4 linked regions of the Caenorhabditis elegans genome follow. Each later gene encodes a partner of the first gene's protein in a complex. Each region holds a gene or a part of one and is shown in the gene's direction. Other genes may lie near its edges. The genes, in order: exos-4.1, dis-3, crn-3 and exos-2.

Region 1 (4,150 bases):
TCTACTTTTGTGTAATCATAAACTTGAAACGAACTACATTATGGTTGTGTGGGTATTTACAGAAACAGCATATAATAAAAATCGTATCGCAAAGGAGAATAAAATGACCGGCGATAAAGCTTAAAATATTTAAATAGATTATGAAAATGACGTTATGCATCACTGTCCCGGGGTTGAGGTTTCGGGCTTTGCGCAGACTTCAGAAGACGATCGAGTTGGGCCTGGGTGGCTGCGGCATCCATCGGCTGGGAAACAGTGGAAGGAGAGCTCACCTTGCTCGGCTTGTCCTGAAATATGGAAATTCACATAGAAAAAAGATCTAAGATTGATTTACCTTATTGAGCAAGTTGGAGAAGAAATTGGCGAGTGGACTGTCCTTATCGGTAGGCTCTTCTTGCATAGTCCTCGGCTTGGGAGCGGCCGTAGTGGTTGAAGTTGCCAGGATGTCCATCAACTTCTTCAAGAAAGCCTGATCTTCCTCGGCTTCGATGAGCTGCTCTTTTGCGACAGGTCTAAGCTTATCGCGAGTCGGCTCTAAAGCTGAATCCACATCCGGAATAGACTCCTGAAATTAATCATGAACTCGGATTCTCCAATTACTTATGTAAAACTTACACGAATAATATCGATCTTTTTCTCTCCGTCCCATCCAGCTGGAACAAAGATCGACTCTCTTTCAATCACTTGAGCTGCACTGGTAAAAGCCGTGCCAAAAGATCGATGTACAATGTACTTTTGGAGGAGCTGAATATTTTTAGTCTCTTTTGCGCTGGTGAAGACAAGAGTCGCTCCGAGACTGAGGCAGAATTTTCTCAGTTGAATGCTGATCTTCGCGAATTGAGCATCTGTGAATTCCTTTCCTAAAACTTTTGCAAACATCATTTATTTTATTTTTCTTTAAATAATATACCCAGGTCAGATTTGGTAATGACCACCATGAACGTGACTCCACAGTTCTCAGTAAGAGTTCCTTGGTCGAGAGGAAGAAGGTTGTGCTCATCGGCGAAACTTCCAACTACGGAAGTGCTCATTTGTGATTGAACCGGATCCACATACTCTTGCCACATTTTTTCTTCTGGAAAAAATTATTTTAAATTGCATGAAGTAAAGAGTTTATAAGCTTACGTTGAGATCTACCGGCTTTCAAGTCTTCTTTGGTGAAATGTTTCTGAGCTTGCTCGGTGCACACATTTGCCCATCTTTTCAAGGAATGAATGAGATCTGAATAATTAAATACTTATTTATTTGAATATATAATACTTACTCGGATTATCAATGCTCGCGGTAAGAATGAAGATAGCTTCCGCGGGAGTTGCTGGAAGAGCATGTTTCAGAAGGGAAGCACACGCCGCATTCCCATCCAAAGACCAGACAGGGATTTGAAGCAACTCTGATGGATTGAGATTGGCTCCGGCTGTTCCCAGTTGATATGCATAACTGGCGTCACGAGCATCATTTTGCACGTGGAGCACACGATATCCAAGTAGTGATTTTGGCTTCACGGTTCTATCAGATTTGTCCAGACGGGAAAGAAGAGACGACTTTCCGCTTCGGTTGTCCCCCAGAACAATCACCGTGCTGCCTTGATTCGTGTTTGTCTTTTTGGAAGCAAGGAGCTCTCGCCTGAAATATGATTTTCAAATAGTATATTTCGTAATAATACAACAAATACCAAATTCCGACTTCTTCGTCTGTCGAAGAATACAAAACCGGAAGCACAGCATTTGCTGTATCATCAAACTCCAGTGGTTGCGCAGTTGGTGGCATTTTCTCGAAGAAAATCAATTTTTTTTTAAAATTTAATTTAAATGAAATTAAACTCAAGTCCCTCGGAGAAGTTCGTCTGCGTCTCCGCGACAAGTACACTCTCTATGCTTCGTGGAAAGATATTGAAATCATGAAAAGCGCTGCGCCTTTAAACTTCCGCAAACACCGTGACGGTAAAATACACAGAAACTTTTTGTTTTTTTTGTTGCATTTTGCATGCAAATTTTTTCTCTTTATTTAATTTTTTACTCATTTTCTTAACTTCAAATTTCAGATTATTCTCATTTCGGGGCGTTGACTGTTTTATGCTTTATGAATACTATTCAAAATATTCAACAGGTGCTCAGAAAAAAGGAAAATCCTCTCCCGCGCATTTATGTCTTTAATTTCAGCTTCGTGAATTTCTAACCGTCTACAACACTCTCAGCGAACGTTGTTTCAACGCCTGCGCTCGTGACTACACCACATCAACACTCACAAAGGACGAAGGGTCCTGTGTCAGTCAATGTAAGATTTATTGTATTGTATAAACACGATTTTGTAATCAAAATTTCAGGTATTGACAAGCAGATGCTAGTGAACCGTCGGTTTATGCTAGTATTCGCAGAACAAGCACCAAAAGCACTTTTCAAGCAAGGAGAGCAATCGCCAACCGAAGCAATCAAATCCGCTAAGCCAGAGCCAGCGGTCCCAGCTCCAGAAGCCACTCCTGTTGAAACTACTCCAGTTATTGAAGAAAATAAGTGAGATTTTCCATAATTTCTTTTAAAAAATCACGAATAATCTTTTGCAGACAATGAACATCATCTCTGAACATGGTTTCCGTATTGACGGCCGCCGTCCCGCTCAGATTCGTAACATTAACACTCGTCTTGGCTTGAACAGAAATGCGGAGGGAAGCTGTTATCTGGAACATGGTAATACCAAGGTTGGTTTTTTTTTAAGTTTTGAATTTAATTTCAAGTTACATTATTCTCTTTTCAGGTTCTTTGTGCAGTTTATGGTCCGTATGAAGGCAAATCGTCAAAAAGAATCGAAGATAAATGTGCCATTGTTTGTCAGTATAGTGCAACAAAGTTTTCGGGACTTGAAAGAAAAAATCGTACACGTGGAGATCGAAAATCAACTGAAATCAGCAGACTTCTTGAGAAAGCATTCGAATCAGTTATTCTGACGGAAGCATTTCCTCGATCACAACTTGATATTTTCTGTGAAGTAATCCAAGGAGACGGCTCCAACCTGGCCGCCTGTGTCAATGCAACTTCTTTGGCTCTTGCTGATGCAGGAATCCCAATGAAAGGCATCGCATCTGCAGCGACGTGTGGTGTTGTCGATGGAAAACCAATTGTTGATCTTACTTCTAGAGAAGAAACTGATCTCCTTCCCAGAGTTACTGTATGTTTAGGCTGAAAAATTGTCTAATTTAATGAATTTTGTAATGAGACTTCTCAAAAATTGCCGTAATTTCAATATTCCGGGAACCGAAATCATATTTTGGTTGCTATTCTAAAAAAAAAAATGTCCAAAATTTTAAGTTATTTTCCGAAAAATCGGGAAAAAACACAAACTTTCGATTTTTCGTTAAAAAATAATTGCTTAAAATTTTCAGCTCGCCACAATCTGCGGTCGTGACGAAGTGATTCTCGTGGAACTTCAAAATCGTCTTCACATTGATCATCTTTCCACAGTCATGGATGCAGCGAAAGCCACGTGTGCTGACGTGTACGAATGTCTCGCAGTAGTTGCTCAGCAACATCTGAAAGCTTGTGCTCCGATTCTAGGCAATTAGCTGTTCTTTTTTTCTTATTCATTGTTGTTTTGAGTTGTTATTCCTTTTTTTTTAAACCCATTTTTTGCAGTCGATAAATCAGTTTTTTCAAATTTAATCTTAGAAATTTTGTAAAATTTTATATGTTTCCGTCTCATTTTCGTACTTTTCTTGTTCAAATCTTGATATTTTTTTAAAAAAATTGCAAATATCTAGAATGTGGAGCCGTGGATTACCCACGCTTTGCAGGACGATTCCGTGTCGTCAGTTTTCCGTCGCAGCTCAAAGTGGAGCTGGTCCTGCAGAAATTGATGGTAGGTGCAGATTTTTTTTGCTCTAAATGGCCAGAATTTTATTAAAATTGTCAAAAAAATTTCAAAAAATAGCTAATTTCCGCTAGAATCTCCAACTTGACCAACTTTAGAGCGGCCGGAAAATAATTTTAATTCGATTATTGTGCTACTTTGGTTTATTTTACGTTATTTCGTAAATTTAGGGTAATTTTAAGCAAATTTGGCTTTAAATGTACCAATTTTTACGAAAAAACATGTGATAAATGACCAAAATAAGACAAAAATTTAATAAAAGGGAAATTTGGCAAAATATTTGAAAAAT
Region 2 (4,664 bases), 3.0 Mb from region 1:
CACCAATATGAAGAGACTTGGAGTTGATCCACCATGTGGAGTTCTCGATCCAAAGGAAGCTGTGCTTCTTGCTGTTTCCTGCGATGCTTTCGCCTTCGGACAAGAGGATACCAACAACGACCGTATCACTGTTGAGTGGACCAACACCCCGGATGGAGCTGCCAAGCAATTCCGTCGTGAATGGTTCCAGGGAGACGGTATGGTTCGTCGCAAGAACCTTCCAATCGAGTACAATCCATAGGATGTGTGAACTGGGTTTCTTAACAATAAACTTTTTTCAAGTATATGTTCTGTTTTTCTGTTTTAATCTGCAAATTGAATATATATTAATACTCAAGCGAACAAGTTTTGTGTTCCATCGATGCCCTTAACATAAGCATCCGGGATTTATTGTAAATCGTTTGGAACTATAGTAATCCTACCTTAATCTTCCAGTAGTCATTCAGTTCAGAAGACTACCCAACCATACTACTAACCCAGCCCATCTCTCCAAAACCTGAAAGCTGTTTTGCTCCGTAAAGGTCGAGGAGGGTGTATTTTTCTTACAAATCAAAGAAATTAACAAGTGAACCGATCACAACTTTTTTTGCTGATATGAGAGAAAAATACTTTATTGATTGGTTCGAGTAAATTTTCGAATTTTCGAAAAAGGAAAGATCCCTGGTATATAATGTCTCAGCTCTGCTATGTATTTTTCTATTTGAAATTCCGAATTCAAATTTTCTCTAGATGAAAGCCTTGGTATTGAATTCTATGCTGGGTTTAGTAAATTTTCGAATTTTCGATAAAAATTATATAATGAAGAAAAATATCCAAATTGGAGGTATTTTAATTTTAGAATACGGGAACGAAGAAGATCAAGATCACATACAAAGTTTAATGGATCTGAAGACATTTCAATTTATCTGGGTAGAACCAATTCTTCAACTCCAAATTCTACAGTAACCGATTCTTAAACATCTTATGGAAGTCCATCGAGATATGTATTTCATTATCATGTTCTTACCCGTTTTTTTTCAATAATGAGATTCTATATTTCGCTTAATGTTTTTATTGTTCTTATTGCTTCCAAAAATTAACATTAAAACAATAAATATTTTGCATCTTGACAAATTTAACATTTTAAAGTCTGGTCAGATTTCATCCTTGAGGACAGTGCTGTGTCTACATACATGAAAAAAAATCAAAAAGTGGCGATTATTTAGTTTCATCCGCATTAAATTTTGTAAGACAAAAAAGTTTGGCAATTTACCAAATCTATGACTGAAAAATTTTCAAAAATCTAAAAACGTTTTGAGCATTATTTTTTAAGGTTATGAGGCCCTAGATAATCATGTTTCCTACCCGATTATCTATTTTAGATGTTTAAACTTCCGTTTTCATGATTTTAGCCATACTCTATTTAGATATATTCTTCCTTTTCATTTCATTTTTCCTCGCAGCTGCGATGGCAGTGTTGTTCGAAGTGTTCGTTTTCGTAGTGCCTACGACACTCCGATGTTCCACTCGCGCGTGTTGTTCACCGTAAATGTACACTGAGTTTTTCTTCGAATAAAATAGTTTTTCCTTCATTTTTCACCTGATTCGTGCGATTTTATTTGTTTTTCACACGTATTTTCATTATTTGAAGGTATGGATTTGAACGTCAAACAAAGTGGAATTCATTCCGTCGCTTTGCACACGACTTACTTCCAAAATCGCTCGGGGAAAGTCTATAAAGTGAGAAAACCTCTCCGAAATCACCTAACCCAATTAAAATTTTGCAGAGAGCCGAAGAAAGATATCTACGAAATGATCTTTCATGTGGACTTGCTCAATGTGGAACCTGCAAGGATTTCGGCACAAATCCGCTGTTAAAAATTGAAAATCCCGTAAGAAATGCGAAAGTTGGAAGGCACGCGCTGATTGTGGATTCCACATCATTAATCAGATTCTACGATTTGTTTGATTCGTCTTTATTGAGGTAATGAATTAAAATTACAGCGGAATCATTTAAATGTAGATGGTTCTACTGTCCAATTATTAAATTCTTAATTTGTTGCTCCAAATTCAGTTTTTAGAAGTTGTCGGGATTGTAACAAACATCTAGTTTCAATTAAAAACTCTGTAAAATAATAAATTATATTTAATTTTCAGAGATCTCATCGTAACCCAGACTGTATGGGAAGGAGTCAAAGCAAAAGCTGTACCAGCCTACAAGAAAATGAATTCTTTGTGTTATGAAGATGCGAAAGACAGATTTCACGTGTTCATGAACGAATTTCACTGCGAGACCTTCTCCGAATCATCGAAATTTGAGGATTTGAGTCGTGGCGAAGAGCTTCTACTTTCAACAGCTCTTTACTTGAAAACTCATTGGCAGAAGCATAACGTGGCTCCTGTTGTCTTAGTTTTTGATGAAGATTCGAAAAAAAGAATGGAAAATCACTACCAACACGTGATGTATTTAAAGGTTAATAGTCGAAAAGTTCAAAACTCTGTGGATCTTTTCTGAAACTGGCGAAATTTCGAAAAAGAGCCAAATTTTGTTAAAAGAAAATTTTTGATTTCTTAAGACTCATAATGAAATTCTGTCGTTCCGAGCTAGTTTCAGACTATTTCAGCCAAAAACCCTAAAATATACACCTCTTTAACATATTTTCGCCGTAACTAAACTTTTATTCAACTAAAAATCATGATCCTTAATCAAAAATTGTATAATAAAGTACAATAAAGTTTGAAAAATGATCCAGTAACCCCGTAGAAAAAGAAAAAATCTCCAAATTTTCAGGAATACATACAAAATTTGGAGGATCCAGGAAAACAAGCACTTTTGGATCAAATGGCTGCGTATGAAAGCTCTGGAAATGGAAATGAGAAACAAATTTTCGATGAATATCTATCGCATGATAGAATTATGGAGGGAATTGCCAGTGGAACGATCAAAAGAGGAAATTTCAGTGTTTCAAGAGAAAATTATCGCGAAGCTACTGTTATTATTGATGATCAGTTAACATCTTGGTTCATCACAGGTGCTTGAATTTAGTTGAAATATTTATTTTCGAAAACCAACCAAATTTTTCACACAAGTCATTACTTTTTGCTGAGAATTTTAAAAAAACTTTTTTATAACGAAATTAGGTGGTTTTCGGTCATTTTGAGCGAAACAACTCTGAAATTATATTTTTAAAAAAGGTGAAATTTTTCCAAAAATTCCAATTCTCTGAATAATAAAATTTTTATTTCGAATTTTAGGAAATAATTGCAATCGTGCCGTCAATGGAGATACCGTCGCAGTTCAACTTTTGCCAGAAGACCAATGGACTGCTCCAGAGAAGAAAATTCGACTCCGTGACGTTGAAGAATATGTTAAAACTGCAGATGACATGGGAAATGAAGACGAGGAGAATGATGACGAGAACGATGAGCCAAAAGCTAAAAAGTCGAAGAAAATGACTGTTTCAACTGCAAAAGTTGTTGGAATTATCAAAAGAAATTGGCGTGAATATTGTGGAATGTTGCTGCCAAGTACAGTGAAAGGAGCCAGAAGACACTTGTTCTGTCCAGCTGAACGACTTATTCCAAGAATTCGAATCGAGACGGAACAGGCTGAAACTTTATCACAGCAGAGAATTGTGGTGGCTATTGATCACTGGCCAAGAGATTCCAAGTATCCACTTGGACATTACGTCAGGTATGTGAAATTTCAGAAAATCTTGAAATATTTTAACGGAATGACTGTTGTTTTCAGATCAATCGGAGAGATGGGATCCCGTGAAACTGAAAATGAGGTTCTCCTTCTCGAACATGATATTCCACATGCTCCATTCTCAGAATCTGTTCTTGATTGTCTACCACGTGAAGAATGGGAACCAGATCTCACTGAAAACCGCGGCCCTCTACCACGTGTTGATTTGAGAGATTTAACAATTTGTTCAGTTGATCCACTTGGATGTACAGATATTGACGACGCATTACACTGTAAACAAATTGGAGAGGATCTTTTCGAAGTTGGAGTTCATATTGCAGATGTCACGCATTTTGTTAGACCAGGTAAATATACTGAAATTATTTAAAAATTCAAGTTTTACTAAAAAAAATGTTTGTCCTTTGAGGTTCGAATAAAACCTCATTTATTTTCAAAAAAAGAACCAAAATTTCCTACGTTTAGGAACCGCAATCGACGATGAAGCAGCATTACGTGGAACTACAGTATACCTTTGTGATCGTCGTATCGATATGCTTCCATGTCTGCTCAGTTCCAATTTGTGCTCACTTCGCGGAGAAGAAGAGCGTTATGCATTTTCGTGTATTTGGACAATGACTTCTAGTGCTGATATACAATCAGTTAAATATCACAAATCTCTAATTAAATCAAAAGCTGCATTGACTTATGAGAAGGCACAAGAGATTATTGACGATCCAAAAGAGCAGAATGACGTGGCATTGGGATTACGTGGATTGATGAAATTGTCGAAAGTTTTGAATGCGAGAAGAACTGGAAATGGAGCATTGACGTTGGCATCGAGTGAAGTTCGCTTTGATATGGATTGGGAGTCCAGAACACCAAAGGTTTAAAATTTAAAAAATATTACAAAAAAAAAAGTTATATTCAAATTCAAAGAAGAAATATATTTTATACAACAGAGCGACCTAGAAACTGATTTTCATTTAGATTATTACAG
Region 3 (6,872 bases), on another chromosome or scaffold:
GTAAGTAAATTTAATTTCTAAAATTTAAATTCTAAGTTAATTAAATCCTTTAAGGCCCCATTAAACATCTTCCTCTACAACGTTGTCAGTGGTCCTGGTCCATCACTTTACGGAGAAGAACCGCTCTCTTTCTACATCAAAAATCTCTTCAACAACTGGAATATCGTCATATTTGCTGCTCCATTTGGCTTTCCTCTGTCTCTTGCCTATTTCACAAAAGTCTGGATGTCTCAGGATAGAAACGTGGCACTCTATCAAAGATTTGCACCAATCATCCTATTGGCTGTCACCACTGCCGCATGGCTTTTGATTTTTGGAAGTCAAGCTCATAAAGAAGAACGTTTCCTATTCCCAATTTATCCATTCATTGCTTTCTTCGCTGCTCTTGCATTGGATGCCACGAATCGACTGTGTCTCAAGAAATTAGGAATGGATAATATTCTCAGCATTCTCTTCATTTTGTGCTTTGCAATTCTCTCGGCATCAAGGACGTACTCAATTCATAACAATTATGGATCTCACGTTGAGATTTATCGATCTCTGAACGCAGAGCTGACGAATCGGACGAATTTCAAAAATTTCCATGTAAGAGTTTTATAAATTTCAATGTTTTTATTTTTTCGAAAACTCCCAGTTGTTCAGGATCCAATTCGTGTATGCGTTGGAAAAGAATGGCACCGCTTCCCTTCATCGTTCTTCATTCCACAAACAGTTTCTGATGGGAAAAAAGTGGAAATGCGATTTATTCAAAGTGAATTCCGCGGACTTTTACCTAAACCATTCTTAAAATCGGACAAGTTGGTGGAAGTTACACGTCATATACCAACAGAAATGAATAATCTGAATCAAGAAGAAATATCGAGATATGTGGATTTAGATTCATGCGATTATGTGGTTGATGTTGATATGCCACAGTCGGATAGAGAACCTGATTTCAGGAAAATGGTAGGGGTTTTGAATATGGAGAAACGTAAATGGAGATTTTATTTCAAAAAAAAAATCATCTCAAATTCAGCGACAAAACTACAAAAGAAAAACAAAAAAAAAATGGAAAAGAATTGAAAACGCGATTCTACAATTTTGGCTAAATTCCCTGTTTGAGGAAATCAAATTTTTAAATTCAAATTTTCATTCTTTCCCATTTTTTTTCGTTTTTGACAATTTTGGATTATTTCAAGCATACTCACACTACTCCTTCCTGTAGAAATGTTCTTAATATATAATTGTAAATTCATATCTATTTTTAGGAAGATAACTGGAAACCAGTGGATTCGCTTCCATTCATCGATGTCTCCAAATCAACAGGATTCCATGGGCTTCTTCGTGCATTTTATGTTCCATTCCTTTCTGCCAAACATAATGTCATGACGACATGCACTTTATATCGAAAATCAAATTTGTAAAACATGTATTAAATATTTATTGTTCACTTTGTCTGAACGGAATTCAGATTCAGGGATTCCGATTTCATGTTAATTTCGGGTTTTTTCTTTTAGGTCACCTTCTTTAAATTTAATTTATTCTTCTTATTTATTGCCTGGAAATTTTTAAAATTTGTATTTATCGTTAATATTATTTATTACCAAGAAATATTTTTTTTACAATTTATTCTCATTTATTGTTTTTCTTTTCTTGGTTTCAAGTCAACGATTTATTATTTTTCTTGATTTTTTTCTAAACTTTCGTTTCTCAAGTTCAAAGAAAATTTACAGAATGTCAGGAGAAGAATCAATGCCCGATGAAGAGCAGAAGCAATCTGAGGAAGAAGAGGAAATGATAAGAAAAAGAACGTTAGCGATGAGGAAAAAAGTCGAAGAAATTATGAGAAATGGCGCCGGGCTTGTTCGTGAATCAAATGGTTTGCCGAAAGCTGGTGCGGATTATGAGCTCTACAACTCGTATCCGACATTCAACACGTTTATGAAGCGATCCGAGCAGAGATTGAATGCACTGTGAGTTGAGCGTCTGAATCCGAAAAAGCTCCGGAAAATTAAAAAAAAATTTAATCGACATTTTTTTAAGCCAAAAACACCAAAAAACATTTTTTTTTCTCCAGAAACACAAAAAAAAAGAAACTTTATTTCAAAAAGCTTAAATATTTTCATCAAACATGCATTTTAAGTTTTAAATTTTGAAGTTATTTTGGAAAAAAACTTTAAAAAAAATTATTCGCCAAAAACTACAAAAAAACTACAAAAAATTTCAAAAAATCGAAAAACGAAAAATTTTCGATTTTTTTTCAATAGAAAATTTTCCGTTTTTTCGATTTTCCGCTATTTCGAGATTTTTAAAAAATTAGCTTTAAAATTTGGTATTTTTGCTTCTTTTTAGAAGAAATTGTCATGTTTTTTCTCATCAATATAAACTAAATTATTTGAAATAAATCATATTTTATGGTGAATTTTTTGAACTTTTTTTTTTGAGTTTTAGGAAAATCGAAAAAAAAAACGAACATTTTTGGCTTTTCTATTTTAAGTTAAAAACATCGAAAAAATCGGAAAACGACATTCTTGGCAGGGCCATGTTCAGAGAAAATTTCATTTAAAAACAAAAAACTTGAAATTCCATATTTTCAGCATGAACAAAGTCACCAAGTCAATAGGATGTGCAATGCGAGTTCCAGATGTCGGTTCATCAGTCGAACATTACACAGAATGTGTTATCGAGGCTCAGGACAACATTGCAGAACGTGCAGCAACTCTCCATGAAGCGCTGAAAAAAGCCGAGCTAGATGAGATAGTCAAAGTTCCAGAATTCATTACAAAAGCCGCCCCAACAAATCGAAAAACCGAAGCAGAAGTTTCAGCGGCAATGAGAACGTTTTCAGCGAATATTGGAACGGTTTTGGCGGAGAAGTTTAGAGAACGAAGAGAAGAAGCTGCTCAGATGGTTGTGTTGGAAAAACCACAGAAGACGTATAACATCAGTTCGGACAACTCACAAGCTCCTTTTTCTTCTAAATTGACTGTTAAACATCATGCCATTGAAAAACGAACGGGTATTGTTCTCCACGATGACGATGAGTCTGGAAGAAGAGATTGGATAAGTGCTGAAACAGAAACTGAAGAGGAACATCCATATATCGCTGAAATTCTTCACTTCAAAGTTCCAGAAGCTCAGCTGAAATCTGCAGAGTGTTTAAAATTCACAGCATTGAAGGATACTCCATTGACAATGATTGATACTAAGGAGAAGCTTGAAGCATTAACGAAAACTTTGAATTCTGTAAAAGAGTTCGCAGTCGACTTGGAGCATCACCAAATGCGATCGTATCTTGGATTGACCTGCCTTATTCAAATTTCAACAAGAGATGAAGACTTTATCATTGATCCCTTCCCAATATGGGATCATGTTGGAATGCTCAATGAGCCATTTGCAAATCCACGTATTCTCAAAGTTTTTCACGGTTCTGACAGTGATGTTCTCTGGCTACAAAGGGATTATGGAGTTCATGTTGTTAATTTATTTGATACATATGTTGCCATGAAAAAGCTGAAGTATCCTAAATTCAGTCTTGCCTACCTCACTCTCCGATTTGCCGACGTTGTTCTGGACAAACAATATCAACTGGCTGACTGGAGAGCACGGCCTCTACGAAATGCGATGATAAACTACGCGAGAGAGGATACTCATTACCTTTTGTATAGTTATGATATGCTCCGAGAGCAACTTCTGAAACAAGATACCAAGGATTTGGCCAACGTCTACTCAGAGTCTAGCGATCTTTGCATAAAAGTATACAAGAAACCAGTGTTCAATCCGAAAGGATATTTGACGGAAATAAAATTCCGATTCACACTGAATACTCGACAGGACTATGCACTTACACATCTTTTCAAATGGAGAGATGTAGTAGCTAGAGCAGAAGATGAGAGCCCACATTTTGTACTTCCAAATCATATGATGCTATCACTTTCTGAGACATTACCACGAGATGTTGGAGGTATCTACGCGTGTTGTAACCCGTTACCGTACTTTGTGAAACAGCGAACTGGTGATATTTTGAAGTAAGTTTTGAGAATTGTGGGAGTCCCAGCATTTTCCGAAAAATGAAAATTTCGTAAATATAAGCTCCGGGACTCAAAAGACCTCATAATAAATATTCTAATTATAAAATTACAGAATAATTGTGGAGGCCAGAGATGTGAAGCTTGAGAAAGTGGGATTGTCGGCGAAAGAAAGAAATGATGCACAGGAAGCACGAGGTGTAATGAACGATACTATGGATCATATCACTTCAGTTTTAAAATCAAAAATCGACTTTTCACACACTAGATTTGACGAAGAACGCGGAGAAATTTATATTGATAAGACAGATGAAGGAATGGATATCGAGCTGAAAGATCATAAAGAATCATTGTTATCAGTGCTCCAAACGGCTGAAATTCCAAGTGTGGAAACTATGATTGTTGTGGAAAAAGGAAAGAAATCGGATAATCAGAAAGTTAAAAAGTTGTTGAATGAACTTGACAAATTTGTAACTCCATTTGAATGTTATCAAATGATGATGATTACAAAAGAAAAGCAAGAAGAAGAAGAGAGAAAAGAGGCTGAGAGAAAGAAATTGGAGGAAGGTGATCTACCGAAGACTATGTTCTCACATCATGATGCTCCGATTAATAGAAAACCTGAATTCGATGCGAAGGTTGGTAGATATAATGAAATCTGAAAAAAATCGTTTTTTTTTTTGGGAAAAACCGAAAAAAAATGTCTGAAAAGAAAATTCCAAAATCGGTATTGCTCATACGGAATTCAGAGATTGCTTTATTCTTAAAAAAAAATTTTCGGCGGAAAAACGTACAGATTTGATAGAAAATTTTTTTTTTTCGATTTTCTCTGAAAAAAATTTAGTAAAAAAACTTTAAAAAAAAATTATCTGAAAAAATCACTAAAATCTTTTTTTAATTTTCTCTGAAAAAATAAATAAAAATGAATTTTTTTTCGATTTTCTCTGAAAAAATCAGAAAATAAAACTTCTTTTTTTTCGATTTTCTCAAAAAAAAAATAAATGAAAAAAAATATATTTAAAAATTCCGATGACATCCTTGGTTTTAATAAGATAATTTTCAGCTTCTAAACGTTGATACACTGAAGCTGGTCCCAGATGATCCGAACAAGCCGAAAGATCCAGAACCTTCACCAATGGAAGAATCTTCATCGGAACCTCAAATCTTCGATCCATCTCGTTTTACCGACGACCAGCTACTGTCAAAGAAGGCAATGAAAAGAAAGAGAGATGCTGCTCGACGAAATATAGATGTTTCTGTTGTGCTCGGCGAGTCGTCGAGTAGTTCAGATCCAAAAAAGAAAAAATCTGATGATGATGCTCCCGTTGAAGATTTTGATTATGAAAAAGCTGATAGTAGTGCATTTGGTAAGTTATATTCCTTTGAATTATCCAGACGCGAGATTTAAGGCTAAAAATACGGTACCAGGTCGCGACAACTTGCAAAATGGTGTGCGCCTTTGAAGAGTACTGTAGTTTCAAATTTTCGTTACTGGGAAATTTTCTTCGGTTTTATTTTAGTTTTTTAATAAATAAATTTAAAACTAAAAAAAATTCCGCAGCAACAAAAGTTTGAAATTACAGTACTCTTTAAAGGAGCACACCAGGGCTGGGACAAAAAATATTTTTGAACAAAAAACCAAAATTGAAATTTACGAATTTGCGAAAAACGAACAAAAACCAAAAAAAGTTGATGCTTGAATTTATTTTTCAAAAAAATCGTGAATATGTGAAAATGTATTGGTTTTTCAAAAAATATTTTTGTTGGTCTGAAAAAAAAAACAAAAAAATCAATTTTTCGTCAAAATACAAGAAATATTTCAATTTTTGTTGAATTCCAACAAAAAAACCCAAAAAAAAATCAATGTTATTCGTCGAAGTGCCAATAAAAGCTATTAAAAAACCCAAAAAAAAAAATTCAAAATACCAAAAAAAAACACCAAAAAATCAATTTTTCGTTAAATTCCAAAAAGAACCGCAAATTTGCAAAAAAAAAACGTTTTCTGGCTCAAAATTTGGATAATACCGTACCCAATTATATAGCTCTCAAAAAAGTCTCGAAATCAAATTCCTAATAAATTATTTCCAGAAAAACCTGTTCGAGACAACAACGCCGATTTCGATCCATTCCATCAAAAATATCGATTGAAGAACAAGACAAAGAAGAATATGGCTATGAAAAAATCATCGAATCGACAAGGAACCATCAACTACAAAAAATGATTAAATTGTTACATCCCATCCCATTACCATTGTTATTTTACTTTTTGTTGTTGTGCTTTTTCTTTTGCTTTGAAATTAAAGAAAACTGTTTTTGAAATCTTTTTATTTATTTATTTTTAATTCAATTTGGTTTTCCACCAATTTCAGTTATATTTTCTACAAAATTCATTTTTGTGATTAATTTTGATTTCAGATATCCCCAAATGGCCGGCAGACTTCGTGAAATGCGTTGTGAGCTCTCGTTCCTCAAAAACGCGGATGGCTCGGCATGCTTCTCCCAGGGTGCCACGTGTATTTGGGCTTCATGCAGTGGTCCTGGAGATGTTCACGCTTCGAAAGCAAGTGATGAGGCTATGACTCTGGATATTAGTTATAGAGCAAATTGTGGAGATAACAAGTTCAATGTGGTAGGGGTTTTTGTAGAAATTACTTTTGGAATAATTCTTTTTTCAGCTGAACAATATCATTCATTCTACTCTATCCAATGCAATCAATCTCGAATTGTTTCCCCACACAACAATTTCTGTCACAGTACATGGAATTCAGGATGATGGAAGTATGGGAGCTGTAGCGATAAATGGAGCTTGTTTTGCTCTACTTGACAATGGAATGCCATTCGAGTAAGTTTTTTTAGATACTGTTT
Region 4 (4,129 bases), 6.7 Mb from region 1:
AATTAATGAAAGCTTTTGATCTGTCCATTTGTCATCGAAAAACACCCGTCCGTCCACCCACATTTTTCGCCGAATTTTTGTGGGAAATTAAGGGCTCTGATAATGCAAATTATGGATAATTTTGTATAAAGTTTTCTAGACATTGGTTAGCGATTTTAAAACTACGAAAAAATGAAATGACAAAATAAATAAGTACTTGCACCTGACTATCATACTTTAACAGCTCATATCTCAATTCATTCAAAACAGTTTACAAACTGTAAAATTGATAAATTTTAGAAAATTAAATAATCAATAAGTTGCCAGTTGACAGTTGTTCAAAAATTTAAAGACAACCAAGTTATAACTTCTAAAATTAATCAATGCCTCGATGTATTAGATACAATATTTTGAAAACATTGTTTTCGATGAACCACAATTTTGTAAATAGTGTATCAGAAACAGTGTTTTTTTTTTTCGATTTTTTACAAATTTTTCTGGGAGCTTTTGTAAGACTCCTACTACTATTTTTATGGGAAATTTTAGAAAAGTAAATAGTCAATTAGTTGTCAGTTAACAATTTTTGATATAAAACAAAAAATAAAAAATGAGCTTCGAATATGGAGCAAGTGTACAACTGCTAGAAAAATATGTGGACCTTTCTTTTGCGACACATTCTTTTTAGGAAATTTGCACTGTTCTGTGAAAGATTTCAATCTGAAATATGAATAGAACAGAAGAAATAATATTGATTTTCCTGAAATTAACCGAATGTTTAGTTGAAGTTCTTGAGAAGTTGTTCAAATACTGGCTCAATTACAATATTCCGGGTACATATGCATTTTTAATAACTTTTAACGAAATTTAAGAATAATATCAAAAATATGTTTCAATACTTCTCATAAAACTCTCAATCAAAATAAGAAATACCAATTCGAAAATTCGAACATTGTTAATCAGAAAATGGTAACTTTATAAATGTTTTTTCAGAAACATTGATTTTTTTTCAATTTTTTCAAAATTTCAAAACTTTTTTCTAAGAGTTCCACATGACCGTCTACCGTCTGAAAATGTTTTTTTTTTAATTTTTAGATGGAGAAGAATACTTTTACAGTCAACCTAAATAAAAAAGAGTACATAAACCCGCAAAATCGGAATCTAGGAAATATTTAAAAATCGCACAATAAACCACCAAAGTTTTGAAAATTTTTCCTTTACGATTTTTACTTCTGTTTTAAATACTCAGTTTTTCTCCAATATATTTCTACGTATCCTCTTTTGTTGTATTTTTCCCGTTCGCATGCAAGTCGAAATTATAGGTGTCCCATTCAACTCACACTTCCTTCCAATGACACCTTTATAAAAAGTCAGACAATGGCTTCGTGTCGAACCTTATTTTTATTTCAATTTCGGGTTTTCATCGTCATTGGTTTAGCAGAAACAATTAAATTTGCACGCTCAATTGGCTCGCACTTTTATGGTCGAAAATCAACATTTGAATAGGCGCCAATTGAGTGACGTGTGGGTTTACGATAAACAGCACGCTTTCCGTCATTTCGGAGTGTCGTTGGAAATAATTATTTTTATTTTCATTTCGAATGAAAGCTTTTTTCAGTTTCTTTGTTTAATTTAAGTTTATTTAAATTTGGTTATTTGCAGACAAAAAAAATTTAAAAAATGAGTTTCGAAGTCACCGGTCCACCCCTCGTATCACCATGGATGATGTTATCAATGTCCGAAGCAAGAAATGATATTGATGAGACAAAAATTGTTATTCCAGGACATTCAGTTTGTGATGCACCGCAACAGTTTATGAGGTATGTATATTGTAAAATACTGTTATATCTTTTTGAAAAATGAAAAAATTAAGATTTTCAGAGGACATGGAACTTACGTTCGCGACGGAGAAATCGTCAGTTCTCTCTCTGGAGTCGTTCAACAATTAAATCGACTGTTGATGGTTAAAACTATTAAACAACGATATGCTGGTGAAGTCGGAGATGTTGTAGTTGCCCGTGTCGTGGAGGTTCAAGCAAAACGGTGGAAGGTTTCAAATTTTTAAGTGAAAAATATAACGATAATTGTTTTTCAGTGTGATGTGGCATCTCGTCTTCATGCAAATCTTCCACTAGGTTCAGTTCTCCTGCCAGGAGGAGACTTTCGCAGAAAAGATGTAGAAGATGAGGAGAAAATGAGCGAATTCTTGAAAAACGGAGAACTGATCTGTGCAGAAGTCCAACAAGTCCAGCACGACGGAACACTTATGCTACACACAAGAAATAATAAGTACGGAAAATTGCAACAAGGAATATTGATTAAGGTAATATTTTATAAAATCTTAAGAAAACGCAATTATAAATTTTTAAATAATAGTTCGGAAAGTTGTTATATTTCTTTAAATTCATCATCCAATTGATTCCAATTAGCTCACGTACGGCGTCTTGCTCTAAAAGCCTCAGAAGTTTTATTCAATTCTCGATCTCTGTACTCAATCACAGGATCTTGATCCTTCTTTGCAGTTGGATGCAGTTCAACAGTCTCGACGCCATAACGAAGAATACAAAAAATTACAAGCAACGCAGCAATGAGAATCCATTGTGTATAAGCACGCCATTCGGGAATTGGGCTCTTTAATAATAATTTTCTATTTCAAAAAAAATTAATGAAAAGCTAACCTCCGTGATAACCATATTTGCACGTTCATCGAGTCGGTAGATCATTGAATCGAGCACTTTTGTACGAATATCCTCCGCCTTTTCAAAGTGTTGAGTTTTCTCATTCTTATGCGACATCTCGTTCAAAGCAATATTTCTTTTTTGTTTATGCTGCCAAAATAAATAAAGCGACAAAAAAATCCACAAAATGAGTGGGAAGTCACGGAATTAATTTCTTTTTTTTGCAGGTTCCTCCACATTTGATCAAAAAGTCCAAGAAACATTTTCACACGTTACCCTACGGAATGGCTGTGATTATTGGCTGCAACGGAAGTGTGTGGGTCACGCCGTCGTTGCCGGAGACCACACTTGAAGAGGATGGATCACATGTTCACGAGTTTCAGGTGTGATAGTGATTCTTGAGAAAAATGAATCGAAAATAACAATTAGCGCACATATTTGGTGACTCAACAACGAGAAATTATAATAATTCCAATGATTGACGAGACCTTATAATTTATTCATCATACTCGTGATCATCATAATCGAAAAGAAAAACAAAAAAATTTGGCTTTTTTCGCAATAAAATAAATTTCAGATTGTACCTCCCGACGTACGCGTAACTATGGTCAGAATCGCTGCCTGTGTTCGTCTTCTTCGTGATTATTCCATCTCGATCTACCTCAATTCACTGACAACATGCTATGAAATGAGTCAGCCTTATGAAGTATCGATTGTTTCTTCAGTTTTAAAAAATTAGAAAAATAATTTCAGATCAAAGAGCTCGCCGAGCAAGACACGTCTTCTCGACTCGCCTACCTGATTGCTGCACGGCTTCTACAGGAACTTCAACAGCAGAAGTAATTCTAATTGTTTTGAATGATCTCTCCCTATTTAAAATTTACCTTTTTTGTTGCTGTTATTTCTTGTTGAGTTTCTTATTTACCATTTCAATTAAATAAAACTTTTTACTTTTTCGGATGATATTAGCTGCGATACAAAATCTGAAAGTTTCGAAAGAAATGGTCCATACCCTGAAATTAAACGATCGACCCGTAATCTTTGCAAACCCAAGGTCGCACAGAAATTTTTTTGATCTAGGAATTGTTTCAATTGAACTCCACATTCTAACTTAATGACCGAACAATTTCAGTGAATATACTTCGATTCACACTATCCGCTTTTCAATCCACCAAGTGAGAATCGAGACGATTTTCTGGAAAGTGTTTATTGTGATTCAAAAAAAACCAGGAAGAATTGAAACATTGACCAGAGGAAAACAACAAAAAGGAAAAGAGAGAGCAGGCATGGGACAGACATTCAGTGAAAGCTCAAAAATTATGCTGCTAATTAGCAGACTTCTAACCTAAAAGGATGCATATGAGGTGTTGGGCACAGTAAAAATGGGAAAATATAACAAAGGATCGAATGGTAAACGAGGATCGGATGAACGTTTCATAGAAAACAATGTGAAGTTAATTCGAACTTCTAATTCT

Evidence for each region.
Region 2: exos-4.1 (region 1) and dis-3 share a complex: the UniProt entries of both Caenorhabditis elegans proteins name them as parts of the RNA exosome complex.
Region 3: exos-4.1 (region 1) and crn-3 share a complex: the UniProt entries of both Caenorhabditis elegans proteins name them as parts of the RNA exosome complex.
Region 4: exos-4.1 (region 1) and exos-2 share a complex: the UniProt entries of both Caenorhabditis elegans proteins name them as parts of the RNA exosome complex.

What each region holds. Positions count from the first base shown.
Region 1 is NC_003282.8:13,096,964-13,101,113, forward strand, and holds exos-4.1 (Putative exosome complex component RRP41), read left to right. Parts: upstream 1-2,041; 5' UTR 2,042-2,079; coding exon of another isoform or gene 2,080-2,106; intron 2,107-2,159; coding exon of another isoform or gene 2,160-2,274; intron 2,275-2,323; coding exon of another isoform or gene 2,324-2,510; intron 2,511-2,560; coding exon of another isoform or gene 2,561-2,563; coding exon 2,564-2,695; exon of another isoform or gene 2,696-2,751; coding exon 2,752-3,162; intron 3,163-3,376; coding exon 3,377-3,556; 3' UTR 3,557-3,643; downstream 3,644-4,150. Other genes in the region: dli-1 (Dynein light intermediate chain), read right to left, coding at 153-287, 335-565, 616-866, 911-1,075, 1,126-1,221, 1,265-1,623, 1,673-1,767; tin-9.2 (Mitochondrial import inner membrane translocase subunit Tim10B), read left to right, coding at 2,080-2,106, 2,160-2,274, 2,324-2,510, 2,561-2,567; fask-1 (RAP domain-containing protein), read left to right, coding at 3,753-3,849. UniProt on the Caenorhabditis elegans protein: Non-catalytic component of the RNA exosome complex which has 3'->5' exoribonuclease activity and participates in a multitude of cellular RNA processing and degradation events.
Region 2 is NC_003282.8:10,095,576-10,100,239, forward strand, and holds the start of dis-3 (putative exosome complex exonuclease RRP44), read left to right. Parts: upstream 1-1,626; 5' UTR 1,627-1,632; coding exon 1,633-1,719; intron 1,720-1,766; coding exon 1,767-1,963; intron 1,964-2,136; coding exon 2,137-2,452; intron 2,453-2,770; coding exon 2,771-3,011; intron 3,012-3,234; coding exon 3,235-3,673; intron 3,674-3,730; coding exon 3,731-4,032; intron 4,033-4,150; coding exon 4,151-4,551; intron 4,552-4,664. Other genes in the region: msp-36 (Major sperm protein 10/36/56/76), read left to right, coding at 1-241. UniProt on the Caenorhabditis elegans protein: Putative catalytic component of the RNA exosome complex which has 3'->5' exoribonuclease activity and participates in a multitude of cellular RNA processing and degradation events. Has both 3'-5' exonuclease and endonuclease activities.
Region 3 is NC_003280.10:10,586,330-10,593,201, forward strand, and holds crn-3 (Exosome complex component 10 homolog), read left to right. Parts: upstream 1-1,712; 5' UTR 1,713-1,713; coding exon 1,714-1,952; intron 1,953-2,576; coding exon 2,577-4,007; intron 4,008-4,122; coding exon 4,123-4,645; intron 4,646-5,070; coding exon 5,071-5,374; intron 5,375-6,095; coding exon 6,096-6,229; 3' UTR 6,230-6,323; downstream 6,324-6,872. Other genes in the region: Alpha-1,2-mannosyltransferase algn-9, read left to right, coding at 55-585, 643-945, 1,248-1,403; crn-5 (Exosome complex component RRP46 homolog), read left to right, coding at 6,433-6,636, 6,683-6,849. UniProt on the Caenorhabditis elegans protein: Catalytic component of the RNA exosome complex which has 3'->5' exoribonuclease activity and participates in a multitude of cellular RNA processing and degradation events. Involved in apoptotic DNA degradation.
Region 4 is NC_003282.8:6,413,847-6,417,975, forward strand, and holds exos-2 (Exosome complex component RRP4 homolog), read left to right. Parts: upstream 1-1,631; 5' UTR 1,632-1,656; coding exon 1,657-1,796; intron 1,797-1,857; coding exon 1,858-2,026; intron 2,027-2,071; coding exon 2,072-2,299; exon of another isoform or gene 2,300-2,406; coding exon of another isoform or gene 2,407-2,607; intron 2,608-2,654; coding exon of another isoform or gene 2,655-2,771; exon of another isoform or gene 2,772-2,807; intron 2,808-2,881; coding exon 2,882-3,037; intron 3,038-3,231; coding exon 3,232-3,360; intron 3,361-3,407; coding exon 3,408-3,497; 3' UTR 3,498-3,614; downstream 3,615-4,129. Other genes in the region: Y73B6BL.22 (Nitrogen regulatory IIA protein), read right to left, coding at 2,407-2,607, 2,655-2,771. UniProt on the Caenorhabditis elegans protein: Non-catalytic component of the RNA exosome complex which has 3'->5' exoribonuclease activity and participates in a multitude of cellular RNA processing and degradation events. Involved in regulation of antisense ribosomal siRNA production.